Lonchura striata: one gene and its partner. The protein of the gene in region 1 interacts with the protein of each later gene in a pairwise test. Links are inferred from orthologs where the notes say so. Each region holds a gene or a part of one and is shown on either strand. Other genes may lie near its edges.

Evidence for each region.
Region 2: the proteins of IFT25 (region 1) and IFT27 interact in binary tests that used the Homo sapiens proteins (3 or more experiments, as listed by UniProt). The two-hybrid records come from large-scale screens. The link is inferred for Lonchura striata from reciprocal best matches to the Homo sapiens genes IFT25 and IFT27.

The regions. Positions count from the first base shown.
Region 1 is NC_134611.1:8,997,846-9,004,716, reverse strand, and holds IFT25 (intraflagellar transport protein 25 homolog), read right to left. Parts: upstream 2,854-6,871; 5' UTR 2,797-2,853; coding exon 2,699-2,796; intron 2,305-2,698; coding exon 2,198-2,304; intron 1,870-2,197; coding exon 1,801-1,869; intron 1,263-1,800; coding exon 1,219-1,262; intron 761-1,218; coding exon 653-760; 3' UTR 536-652; downstream 1-535. Other genes in the region: LRRC42 (leucine-rich repeat-containing protein 42), read left to right, coding at 4,124-4,596, 6,621-6,752. UniProt on the Homo sapiens protein: Component of the IFT complex B required for sonic hedgehog/SHH signaling.
Region 2 is NC_134607.1:22,988,179-22,995,296, forward strand, and holds the start of IFT27 (intraflagellar transport protein 27 homolog), read right to left. Parts: upstream 3,015-7,118; 5' UTR 2,935-3,014; coding exon 2,901-2,934; intron 1-2,900. UniProt on the Homo sapiens protein: Small GTPase-like component of the intraflagellar transport (IFT) complex B that promotes the exit of the BBSome complex from cilia via its interaction with ARL6. Not involved in entry of the BBSome complex into cilium. Prevents aggregation of GTP-free ARL6.

The DNA of each region.
Region 1 (6,871 bases):
GACCTGATTCTAGAGAATATTTATAGAAACAAGGGACTGATGTATAATTATTAAAAGCCTATAAAAACACTTCATTTGGATTCTGATTATTTCCATTCCTTCCCTGCCTCTCTCCCCCAGGTTATTTCTAAGCATTAGCAGACATTTATATTCATTCTAACAATCTCTGAGTTTGAGCTGATCAGAGAGTTAGCAACTTAAGGACTTCTGAAGAACTTGTTTGACAGTGGAAGTAATACATCCCACTTAAGTAGCTCAAACTTTTTTTCCTATTTAACTCAGAGTGCAAGGGAAATATTTTACAGGAAATTAAGTTTTAGTTAATGTATTATGTAAACCTGATACAAATACACTACCTTAAATGGACTCAGTTACGCTCAGGTGTTCCAGGCTGACAGTTTAGGTTACAAAATGAAAAAGCTGTTACTACAATTAACAACTGCACTGTGTTGTGGTTGGACTTGATGATCTTATTATCTGTATTCTTCTATCCTATTCCATACATTAAACCAGCAAGGAATATATACCACATCCATACCTTCCAAAACCACTTTAATACAAGGTTCTAATAATAAACATTCTCTGCAGTGCAGGTATTGAAATTTAACTTCCTTATAAAAAAATAAAGTGGGGGCCCAAACTTAAGCTGGGCTCAAGTGTTCTCTGCTGTGCCCTCTGCCATCACCCGGTGCACTGACACAAAGTGATCAAAGCCAGATTTGATGATGAAGCGCAAGTAAGTGGCTTGGAACTCAGGAAGCTGCAGAAGGAATAAAATGTCATTGCATCCTCTGTAGTAACAAAACCACCAAAGCACATTTGCAAAAGTTTGTTAAACACGAGGATCTGGGTACTTCAGGGTTCCTTCTTGAACTGCACATAAATCAAGTTCTTTGACCTGCAACTCAAAAAAATCCCATCACCTCCTGAATTCTGTAGCCTTAAAGGCAGCAACTGAAGGAGAGGAAATTGCCACATTTCTGGAAAGGGCCCTTGCACCTCATTAGGAGCACTAGGCAGGTACAATTTCATAGCATAATCTACAGAGGAGCAGCTGGGAAGTGCAATTTCACACCACAATCTACAAACTCCTCCCTTTAACACCAACTGAGCAATAATTGTAAATAGAGACACATTTGGTTTCTTTATGGTTTCTCCCCACTCAATCCAGACATGCCATTTCATGAACCACTACTGATGTACACTGCAAATACTCACTGTAAATTCTTCCATTTGTAGCTGTCCTTCTCTGTGCTGCAAATCTACAAAATATATTTTAAGGTAAACAATGAAGAACAATGTGCAATGCAGTGAAGTTTTCACTGGACTCAGAGTTCAAGTGAGTTCAAGGACAATGAATTTACGCTACATATAGACATTGTTCTTTTTTATTTTTACAGGTGATTTAAGAGAATACATTTTTGCAGTATCCCAGTCTGTGTATGTATATATACATCCCACTCATTACAGTGTTATAACAAAGTCACCCAAGAGGCACTAAAAAAAGCCAATCCCCAAGCCAAACAATCCAGGAAATGGCACTCTATTATACTATGTAAGCCTGTTTTTAATTTTTGGAACATAAAGTGCACAAGTAGCACTTTTAGCCCTTATACAGCAGTTTACTCTCTGAACTGCTGCAGAGACCAGCAGTTAAAAAATTCACTTAAATGTGACTGTTACATTAATGTCTAATAAAATAATCATCACCCCACACTTTACTCAACAAATAGATGAGGGGTTACAGTGATTCACTGAAAAAAACATTGCCCCCCAAAAAGCCCACAAACTCAGTCTTACCTTTTTCAACACATTGTTCAAAACCCACAGGGTCCTTAGATGTGCTTCTTTCAATCCTTAAGGTCCGCACTAAAATATATATCAATTCAAAATATCAACACAAGTTCTGATTCTTTATTGACACTGATATCTATTCCATCACTTTACAACCACAAAACACTTTCAGAGCATTAACTAATTTTTTTTTTCTCTACGCTATGGGGATTGTGGATACAAAGGACAATTGCTTTATGAAAATGAATCTTTATGCAAAATTAAATCTTTATGTAAATTAAATGTTTACAAATCTCTTAAAAGTGGCTACATACCGACTATGACACTACTGTGGGAACTTTTAAGGCACAGACACGCATTTTAATATAGCACATATTTCCTATGGCAAGACACAAAGTCTTACCCAAATAACACTGGATGGCGACTTTGCTGATTTTTACACATTTGGGAAATCCAATAATCAGTTCCTGTGGGAACATGCCCGTAGTCGTCCAAAATGTTTTGGAACTTCTGTAGAGAGAACAGAACAAAATCCTCAACTGAAGCTTTCCATCTATAACCATCTTGAATGAAATATACCACAGAAAAACATGGAGTGGAAAGGAAGGGGAAAAGCGGAGGGGAAGAAGGGTGGAAAAGGGTGGAAAAACAGGGGGAGAGCGAGGAAGGGAAGGAGAGGGACGAAAAGGAATAGGGGAAAGAGGGGGGAAAGGAAGGGGGATGCATTTTTATTTGGGGTGCTTTCAGCAGGGCCCTGTACAAGGACGGGGCCGCTCTCTGGGGCGGCCCCGCACAGGATTGCGACGGCGGCGGGCGCCGAGCTCTCCCACCGTGCGGCGGCTCCAGCGGGAGGGCGAGGGCCGCGCCCGGCGGGCTCCGCTCCCGCCGCCCCCGCCGCCCTCACCCGTCCGCCACGCTCTCGGCGGGGTGCTCGGCATCGCTGGACGTGGCCAGGACCAGCGCGGCCCCCGCCGAGCTCCGGCACCAGTCGGCGGCTCCCATCGCCCGCCGCGGCGCTGCCGCTCCCGGGCAACCGCGGCGGCTCCTCCCCTGCGGCCGCGGCCGCCGCGGGGAGCCGGGCCCGCCGCTGGCCGGGCGGGGCCCCGCTGCCCCGGGCCCCGCTGCGCCCCGCCCGCCGCCCGCGCGGCCCCGCCCGCCGCCCGCGGGCGCCGCGGGGCGGGAGCGCCGAGCCCCGGCCTGGCTGACGGCGCGGCCCCTCCCGGGGCAGGTAGGTGGCGGCCGGGGGGATCGGGGAACCAGCGGGATTCTGGCCTCCCTGCCCGGGCGGAGAGGGGCGGGGTGGGGACCCTTCCCCCGGCGCCCTTCCCCCGGTGCCCCTTCCCCCTGTGCCCTTCCCCCTGTGCCCGTTCCCCCGGTGCTCTTCCCCCGGTGCCCCTTCCCCCTGTGCCCTTCCCCCGGTGCTCTTCCCCCGGTGCCCCATCCCCCGGTGCCCCTTCCCCCTGTGCCCCTTCCCCCGGTGCCCGTTCCCCCGGTGCCCTTCCCCCCGTGCCCCTTCCCCCTGTGCCCCTTCCCCCGGTGCCCGTTCCCCCGGTGCCCTTCCCCCGGTGCCCTTCCCCTGTGCCCGTTCCCCCGGTGCCCGTTCCCCCGGTGCCCTTCCCCCGGTGCCCCTCGGGGCAGTGCCCGCTCACGGCGCGCTCAGCCCCGGGCACAGCCCGATCCCTTCGCAGACCCTTCCCAGCTCCTCTCCGGGTTGGACCCCATCCCTTCGCACCCGGCTCCCCATCCGTCCCGGTACCCCCGGCCCCCCTGGGGCAGGGCCCGCTCGCCAGCCCCGCCGGCCGGGAGGCGAGAGGATCCTGTCCCTGCCCTGCCCCTCGCCAGGGCAGGTCTGAGCTCTCCTGCCCCCCCCAGACCCGCTCGCCAGCCAGAGCCCCCCGGCACCGGGGAAGGGGCGCCGGGAGATGCCCACCCTCCCCGGGAGGGAGGTTCCAGCAGGCTCCATTGCCCAGCTGCAGTCAGACATGTGCCCTCCTCTTCCTCCTTCTCCTGCCTGCAGGAGAACCAGGCCTGGTTGTGCGGGCACTTCCCACTCAACCCCTCTCCCGCTGCCCCTGTCTCCATCCCGGGCCTGGGATCTATCCCGGGGGTCTCAGCCAGCCCGGGGTCCAGCTCCCACTCGGATGGGGTGGGTGGTTTGGTGGCAGGCAGCTCACGCCCCTGCTCCACACAGCCTGCCCTCCTTGCTACGTGGCCATGCTCAGGGCTCTAAGGGGAGCTGCCAGCTTTGGGGGCTTCCCTAGGTCATGTTTTTGACTGTGGCTGTTCTTCACTTGTCTGTGATTTGTTTTTACAGAGCTGGTCGAGGGGAATGTCGTACTGTCTCCACTCAGAAAGCCATTTGGATACTGGGCCAATATACGTGCGTGAAAATGGGAAGCTGCATGTGGTAAATCGGGGTGCAGGCAGCGTACAGAATGTCACTCCCAAAGCAAGACCTTTCAGTCTGTTTTCCAGAACTTTTTCAGTGGAGCTTTGCATGAACAGGGAGGATGATAGGGCAAGGAGGCAGAGGACTGATCATTTCATCTTCACCTACACCAAGGAGGGGAACCTCCGCTACTCGGCCAAGTCCCTCTTCAGCCTAGTGCTGGGTTACATTTCTGACAATGTAGATCACATTGACTCGTTGATTGGTTTCCCAGAGCAGATTGCTGAAAAGCTCTTTTCAGCAGCAGAAGCAAGACAAAAGTTCACAGAGCCAGTGACAGGACTGAGAGCTCTGCAGAAATTCACTGAAGCCTATGGCAGTTTGGTGCTGTGCTCACTGTGCTTGCGGAACAGGTAAGTGTGTCCCCTAACAAATCTTGTCTTCTGCTAGCACACTTCAAACTTCCCCTAAATTAAATTAAATAAAAATACATTTTAGCCTTACAACACCACGTAACATTAATTAAATGCCCTGAGCACTATCTGATTCTTGTGCTTTTATCCCATCCCTTTCCTACAAGTGAAGCTGTAGGTTTCATTTTAAGATACAAATCATAACAGAGGTAACAGACTGCCTCTGCTTTAACCAACAGGGGATCTTATATGGAAGATTAAACCTGCAACTATTTTTAACAATAATAATAACTTCTGTGGAAATCCGTGTGCTGAGTGCCTTCTCAGGTATTTCATGGGATGTCTCTTTAATTGCTGTTTAAAAGCTTTTCAACACACTTAGCTGACTGTACAGATAAAATACACCCCTGCAAATTGTTCAGGTTTACTAACTATAAGCTTTCTGATATGTCTCATTTTGAGGGCTCAGAAGAAGATACAGACTTGTTGGTAAGTTGCAGGCTTTAAAATCAAGCAGATTTTACCTTGTTACCACCCCATATTGGCTGTACTTTAACGAGGTCCTGATTACAGTTCGGCACTAGTTTTTCCATCTTCTCAGTGCCCACATCTTTAACTGAAAGAGTCTTGCCAAGTTTAAAACTGGATTATGTTTTTAAAGCCTTGCTCCTACTGAAGTCTTTCCCAGTAATAGAACCCTTCTCTTCCATCTCTACACTTGAAAAAGGGATGGTTTATCCAGTTTAAAATCAAAGTACTGGCATATTCATCTGAAGTACCAAGGGTGTTCTGAGCACAGTGGGAATGTTTGAGTAGAAGTCAATTATCCTTTGTTTTATCCTTTAAACCTTCTCCCTTTTTATCTCTAGCACAGATAATTTTATGGGCTTAATTTAGAAATTAAGCTACTTCTGGCATCTTTTGCCATTACAGAAAGCTGAGTTAAGCATCAAGTCTTTGAAATCCAGGAAGTAAGGCATTAAGGCATTTTCTGATGAATTTTATTTCTAAGAGCCCACTCTCCAGAACCCCCCTGAGCTAATAATCTCTCTCGAGAACTGGCTTATGCTCTGTTTATTGTGCTTTTTGCAGAGCCAAATTGCACAGGCAAGGGGTTTGAGTGGGGTGGTTTGAGGGGTACAATTACACTGGGATGATATTAAGGTCCTCTTGTTTGCATGGACAAAGAGGTGTTCTTGGAGGGATCAGGTTAATAATCACCCCCAGTATATGCAGTGAAGATGCTGACCTCAGGGTGTGTCTTGCCATGGGGAATACAAGGTAAATTCAGGAGGTATCAGTGAATTTGGAGCTTGTCTTGCCACAGGGACAGCAAGAGGTGACTGCAGGGGAGGTACTGAGGGCTACGTGCTCATTACTGCATACTCATGCCTGCCATTCTTCAGTGGTTTGTTCCCATCTCTGAACCTCCTACTGAATAGCTCCAGCACAGATGTTTGCGTGGCTGCTGAGTGAATCACACCAGGGAACCAGCACAGCTGAAAAAAAACCCAGAGTAACTGCTGCCTCAGCTCTGGCCAGTCCTGGACTTCTACCTCTACTCAAGCATTTTATTGACATATATAAAAACTAAAATTTTGCTACTGAAAGGCTATCCTGTCCTGTTTAAAATCCATGTTTGAGGTGGATTTTAAACCTGGATGAATGTGGGTTTGTCTGTACCTTTCCTAGGAAGAGCAGTTTGTGAAACTGACTATAAACTGAGACATTTTGCATTATTCTGAAATAATACAGCAATAATCTGTAAAGAAGCTCCTAACAGCAATATTTACAAGTTGAATCAAATCTAAACCATGACAGTGATTTAAGGAGAAGACTGGGAATTCAGACTTGTGTGCCAGCTGCACATAAAGAGGTACTTAGTGCAGCTGGGTAATTTCTGTCAATTTTCGCATAGGTACTTGGCAGAAACGAGTGCATTGTGCTTATGGCACTTGGGGATGTGGACTTACATGCCTGAGCACTGAGGGCTTTTTTTTTTTTTTTTTTTTTTGGCTTTGCAGGTACCTGGTTATCTCTGAAAAGCTTGAAGAAATTAAGTCTTTCCGGGAGCTGACGTGTTTGGATCTCTCCTACTGTAAACTTGGAGATGAACATGAGCTGCTGGAACACCTCACCAAAGAGGCCCTGTCTAGGTACCAATTTCTTGAGCTAAAAATGACTCTTTCCTACCACTAAGCAGTTCAAAGAATCAGGCTGAGACTTTAAAGGGAAGTTTCACAGACTACGGAGTGTAAGGTTGAAGATTTTGGTT
Region 2 (7,118 bases), on another chromosome or scaffold:
TAGAAGGAAAAGCAAGGGGATTTGGTTTTTGCTCTTCTAGAGCCAAGGTTTTCTGAAATGGCTTGCACAACACTTCAGGCAAACCTGACAGCTCCCTGCTTTGGCCTGCTCTTACAAAACTCTGTGAGATCCAAAGCAATCACAGGATCACAGAACAGAATATGCTGAGTTAGAGGGGACCTACAAGGATCACTGGGTCCAACTCATGGCCCTGCACAGGACCATTCCCAAGAATATTGCCCAAACGCTTCTTGAACTCTGTCGGGCTTGGTGCTGTGACCACTTCCCTGGGGAGCTATTACAGAGCCCAGTCATCCTCTGGGTGAAGAACCTTTTTCTAACATCCAACCTAAACCTCCTCTGACACAACTTCAGGCCATTTCCTCAGGCTCTGCAGAACTTACATATGCCCATATTACTACATGAAAAAGATCATAAATCATAACCTTTTCTAAACAAAGACTTAATGCTTCCGAAGACCTTATAATTTCTCCACATAATGTCTCACTAGCTTGGATAGTTAAAAGGACAGGAACCAGTAATTAAATACCTCAGTGGTTCAAGCTTTACCCTCAAAGGTATACTCATAACAGCCAAGCCTGGAATACAAGTCTTTCACATTATGTTGTTAATAAATAAAGCCAGAAAGGAAGTATTTTACATTAAGTTGTTAATGGGTGTATTTTTGACTCCATTACAGCTTCTTAATGGTGTTTTGAAGGAAATTGGTAAAGCTCTCTGCTCACATACTATTACAGAGAAGGAAGGGTGTTTTGGATAGTGACAATTACCCCTAGATGCATTAACCAAAGTAGTTTTTATTTAAACATTTTTAGCATGCTTGCTTACTTTGAGCTGAGTTGGGCTCATAATATTTAGACAGGAAAATCTGGTAAGTCAGCTTGCTTGTTCTCTGATCAGTTCAAGCCTGTGCGGAAGACAACACTCTGTTCTGAGTGGAAGCTATTCTGTATTTCAATAGACAATTAGATCTGTCTTTGTAAAATGACATAGAGAGGCACACATTGCTCCAAACTGTGCAGGCATCAGCCAGCACAAATTCTTAATTAATGTGTTGCCTTTCTTTCACTTGACAGCCCCAGGTGTTCTTTCCCTCTTTTTATTCTTTGTCATCCTCTTTAGCCCATCACACCAGTACACTTCCTCAGAGTAAGTTTCCTTGCCCTTTTCAGTTTAGTCTCTTGTGCCAGTAGTGCATCTCACAGTATATATTCTATCCATATTTCTGTTATTCTGCCAGAATCTCTAGAATCCTTCAAAAATGCCTGCTACTGCCAGCTGTCTCTCTACAATGAAAACCTTTGTGTAGTGTCTCCATAGTAAGCTTAGACAACAATTCTTTTTATTTTATGCCTGTAAATGACCCTTGAGATAACACAGGAATTATCTTCTATTGTCAATTCAATAATCTCTGTTTTGCTAATAAGAGCTCTTTTCCCGTTCTTTTTGACCTTGGTGTAGCTCCCAGTTTTGTGTCACTGGCTCTTCATAACCATTTCCTTAGGTCTACAAGAGCTCCCGGTTTCATTTCTGATAGGTTTGCTCCTATTTATGTAATTGCATTTTTTTTGTTTCCTCATATCTTAGGTCACTTTCACTATAGTGGATTTTTTCTGCAACAGAGAATCTATTTTTCCTGGTCTGCTTTACTAATTTATTTTTTTAATAATACATGGATATTATTGTAGCACACAGAAGAATAACATATGGGATAGGACATTCCTGTTCTTTGTGCTGTGAATAAAATTGAAAAGGCTGCTCCAGACCCAATAAGGATTAAGGACATAAACAGGTCATCCAAAGAAAACTTATGTGATTTTAAAATGGTCATGGAATTGGCCTTTGCCAAACTGGACAGTATACTGGGAGCAGGACACTTCCAAATTGGAAATGATGCCTATGTTTCAAGCATAGAAGACGGGCAAGATATTCATGCTGTTCACAGCAGTAGAGCCACAAGGGAGATCAATTCTCTTGCCTTTGCCAAAGACCACATATGTCTTTGTGTGAGCTGATGGCCAGCTGCTTCTGAGGTTAAAAAAGGCAAACATTTTATTCTGGATGAAATAATTTTGAACACATAGTTAAACCTGGGAGTTGACTGCACACAAAGGTTTTATGGATTTGTGCTTTTGGCTGAGGCTGCACAGAGCTTCAATGTAGAGGGAGGGGGAAAAATAAAAACCTTTTTCACAAAGTGTTAACAGCCAGCTGTACTCACTTTCCTCACCTCCATAATCCATCCTGACTAAATAAAGTGGTGTCTTCACCTCATTTTTCTTCTCAGGTTAGCCTCTAAATTATTTGGAGAAAAAGATGCCACTGTGAAGTGCTCAATCTTCTCCTCTTTGTTTAGGCTTTACCTTTCTATCGTACTCTCAGAATCATCCTAATTTCTGCCATGAAGTTTTCACATCAGCCCAAAGCAAGACTCACATATGAGGCAGGATTCAGCTGCCTACCTTGCTCCCTTCTCGCCTTCTCCAATCTCTGCGCCCACCTTTCCACCATGCAGAAATACTCCTTTTGGTTTCTATTTGGGTTTTTTTCCCTCTTTTTCAGATCCTATCCTTGGATTTTAGCCGATCCAACTACACCTCACACCCTCCCTGGGCACTGCTCGACTCCACGTGGTGGGCGGGGGCGGGTACCGAGTGGTAATATCGGACACGACTTCACTGCTCCCGTCCCCAGGCAGCCGAGGTCTTCCCTTCTCTCCCATGGCCTCTTTCCCCACCTCTTCTCTGGCGGGGCGGCCCCTCGACGAGCGGCTGTGGGAAGCCGGGCCGCCTCCGCTGCCGGCCTCGCCCGACCCCACGGCGCCCGCTCTAGTCCCGTGTGGGCAGCGGGGCGGATGGGAGCGGGCGGGCCGGACTCACCTGCCAGCAGGCACTTGGCAGCGAGCTTCACCATCGCGCCGGGCCGGGGCAGGCGGCGGCAGCCACGGCGGGCGGCAGCGGGGGCCGCCACCACGCCGAGCCGAGCCCGTGGCAACCGCGCGGCCCTGGCAACCGAGCGACCGCCCGCCCGTCCCCATTGGCTGCGGGCCCTGCTCATCAAGGCCATCCACAGTTATTATTTGTTCTCTTGTTTCTCCCCGCCCACTACGCGTGCTGTCAATCAAATCAAACACGCCGCCCCTCCCGGTGGCGCCGCGGCGGCACGGGAGACGCGAAGGGGAGTTCTGCCTGGCAACTAACGATGTCATCGAGAGCCGGCTTGTTATTGGGCAGAACATAGAGGGCCTGCGCCACGGGGCTGAAAGGACCCTCTGGGCGCACGGCAGAAAATGACACAAGTTACGGGCAAGGAGCTGCGGCAGCCCCAAGGCGGGCAAGCGGGGCGAGAAGCCTCCACTTCCTGCCCGCGAGCCCGCGGAACGCGACGTTCCGTGCGGAAGCGCCGCGGCTCCGCGCGCCTTGCTGCGCATGCGCGCGGCGGGCGCGCGGCCTGGCCCGGCCTGCGCGTCCCTCGCGCCGGCGCCGCCATTTGGGTCCCGCTGCCCTCAGGGCCCGGCGGCTGCGGGAGCTGCTGCGGGCGCGGAGTTGTGCTGCGGCGGCTTCAAAGTCGGCCACAAAGCCGGGTCAGCACGGCGGGAACAGGCGCTTTGCGAGGCCTTCTCATCCTGAGGGAGTGGAGCTGCGCTTCTTCCCTGCCCGGGCCAGCAGCTGATCCGCTCGCATTTGCTCCAGTGCACACTTTTCCTTGTGTTTGGCCGTGTTAATGTACTCAAGGAGAAAGTTCTCTTGCTTGCTGATTTCTTAGCTACTTTCTCTTTTTTCCCCCCCTCTTTGTTAATATTTGCAGCCTTTCCTTCTGCAGTGGTTAATTGCTTTATTTGTTTTTTCATATTTTAAAAATATTTCTGCTAAACTCTCCCTTGGCTACTATTAAACTATTTATATGCCCTATTTTATTCTTTGAACTGATTTTCTGTCTTCCTTAAGCAGTCCAAGTGAGTGGGTTTTGAGTGGGGGCTGAAAAAGGGGACCACGAAGCTTCCTGGGTTTTCCCCTCCTTACAACCTCTTTGAAATATCTGTGCCACCAGAAAGCATACCATTAATAGCAATCCATACATTTTTTAGGGTGTAAACTTTGCTTGGCTGCACTTTGGATTGTTTATTCTGGAACAGAGTATGTGCTTACTGTGGAAAGCAGTGCATAAGCTTGGGAAGAACAGAACAATCAATACTGCATATGTATTTGGGTTATAACATTGGACATTCCAAGGGTCGAAAATAAAGTTTTCAAGGTTTTATTTTAATGTCAACATTTTATTTTAATGTGATTGCTTAGAAGGCAGCTCTTTTACTTTTCCTGGGATAAATTGCCTGTGACATGTCTAACCAGGCAAGCAAATAGCATAAAATCAATGAGAACTTATAGCTGAATCAAAGGAGCTTCCTATATACCCATAAAATAACATTGGGTAGAACATTTATGTTCATGTGATAAAAACATGAGGAGGACTTCACTAGCCTGGGTGGGCAGACTTCAATGGTAGATGATGACTTGTAGTAAAATATAGTGATGGAGTCACTAGTCTTCATTTAAAAGGGAAAAGAAAAATCAGTACCAGGTCTCATTATTACGTTCTCTGTTTTCCATCCCCAAATCTTCTATCACATAAAACAGATGTGGGCTATTGATCTTCTCCATCACTTATGTCTAAATAGCTTACCTCCTCTTTCATCTTTTCTGCCTTCCCCTCCATCCTCCAAGAAATTCACTTGTCTCTGTGTCGTTCCATTTTTGCAAACTTTGCATTATCCTTTGTTGTCTATTTCTAATATTGCCCCAGTTTACTGACAGGTCTCCAAGCAAAGGCTTTGAGGCTCCATTATGATGTACTTGAGGTTTTTTTATTGTGGCTGCAGTGTGGTGGTATCCATCAGCATTTACTGAGGTCACAAACATCCTCGCCATTTTACACTGGGATCGCTGCAATGGAAGGCATAGATTATGTAGGAAGTGAGACTTTCATTGCTACTGAAAAGTTTTGCTTGGAATCTGGATATCTCCTCCCTGCTTGCTGCTTTCATATTAACACCCTGTTCCTTTATCCCATTCCCTCATTTCCTACTGCTGCATGCATGTGTGCACAGAACTCTTAATGGATTTGTATCCTCTCTATTTCTTTTCCTTTTACCCCACAATATATTTTTTTTTACCCAATCTATCTTTTCCTCTGCCTGACTTCTGTTCCCCTACCAGCACTGACAGTGATAGATTAAGGATGGAATTACTTATCTACACCTTGTAATCCAAACAGAATCGCAGTCTGCTGTTAGCAGTCCACAGGGGTTGCTGCTGAATAAATTGGAATGCTGGTAGCTGTGCTCGCTGAAGCTTCTCTCGTCTTGAGTACGTGAGAAAAAGGGGAAGAGGAACCCTGTGGATTTAAACAAGAGAAAAACCCCAACAACAGAGGGTGATGCCCTTACCCTAGAGAAGTGTTTATTAGGTTAAATCCTGTATTTAGCAGCTAAGGAGGAATAGAGCACTCTTCATTCACACATTTAATTTTTCCCTCAAATGAAACAAAATTATTTTGAATGAGAAGTGCCCCTTCTCTCATGTGAGCAGGAAAAGTTTCCTTGACAGCCACAACACCATGAAATTTGAAGTCACATTCCCTTAGGTAGTGGTCACAAACCAGCAGTCAAACTGCACATGCAGTCTGTGTGTCGTGTGTGGCTTGCATTTCATCCAGCTGCTGAAGGCAGGGATGGTGGAACTGCATCTCCAGCAGGAGTGGCAAGGAACTTCAGACACTAGGTAAGGCTCTACAATGGGGATTAAACTGAGGTCATGTAGTCTTTTAGACTGAGATATAGTTGGTGTTCCAGATTCTGTCAGGCGCTGCATAGGTCACTTCATTATCTTCTTCACAGAACATGCCTGTTAGAAAGTGATTTTTTTCTGAGGCCGAATTCAGTAATATTACTAGGACTTGTTTTCACAGTTGTTCATCCACCAATGCAAACATTCAGAACTGAGCAGGTTACAATCTGTAACTTGAACGTGCTGCCTGTTAAAAGCTATGAGGAAGAACTGTAGATTTCTTTGGAGTAAGCAGTGCTTCTCAGGAGGGCATTAATGTTGAGGAAAGCGAATTAGTAGGTCTTTCTGTAAGAAATCTCTTAAATACAAAGTACTTTTAAAAATCTTATGTTACTAAAAGGAAACAGTGTGACAAAATGGCTTCAGAAGTATCTTGTGAATGAATATTCCGAGTTCATGCTGCTTTTTAAATCCTCATAGATTCTTATAGGATTGACTATGAATGTTTACTGGTATGTCTGGAGAGCTGTGAAAACTGCAAGAAAGGATGTGTAAATTTTATTGTAGATTTCCATTCTTTACACTTCCCCCAAGTGGTGGAATAAATAGATACTCCATCTATTTTGAGGGCTACTTCATTTGGCATCCCCCAAACCCAGCTTTTATTTCTCTTCAGAGTGGGGCTATTAGCACAGAAGTGAGAATTTGGATGCTTTCTCTAGCTCTGTTGATAACACCATTATAGTTCAGGTCTTCAGATTTTGCTCTTTTGTGGTGGGGGCTGAGGCACAGATCTGAAGGCTTTTTGGCTGACAGTCAGTGCACTGAAATGTAAGATGATTACAAAATGGTTGAATCAGCCAAAGGATTTGTTGGCAGTTACAACAGCCCTTCTGACTGATCTGGCAAATCTGCCGTTTGTTTCTGATCTACTCTGTTGGGACAGTGGAAGTTAGAAATGGATGGCAGTTGTGGCATCTATGGAAAGTGATAAATTACTAAATGTAGGGTAGGTACCTCTACAACTTGGTTTGAGTATGCTAATTGTAACTGTTATGTCCTCTCTTCTGATGAATATGAAAGGAAGGAAAGATTTCTCAAGGATGCATTCAAATCCACAAGGATGAAGATAAAGAGAATTTCTGGAGAGTAATTATTCTGCAAATGTCTGGAAAAATTCCAGCTCGAATCTTTATTTTCTTGTTCATGCACATGGAAGCTTGAAAATACGCCAGGAAGAAACCCTGAAATCTTTATTTAATTTTTAATAATACCCTCCAACCCAGTAGCTAGCAGGCTGTTGATCAGGGA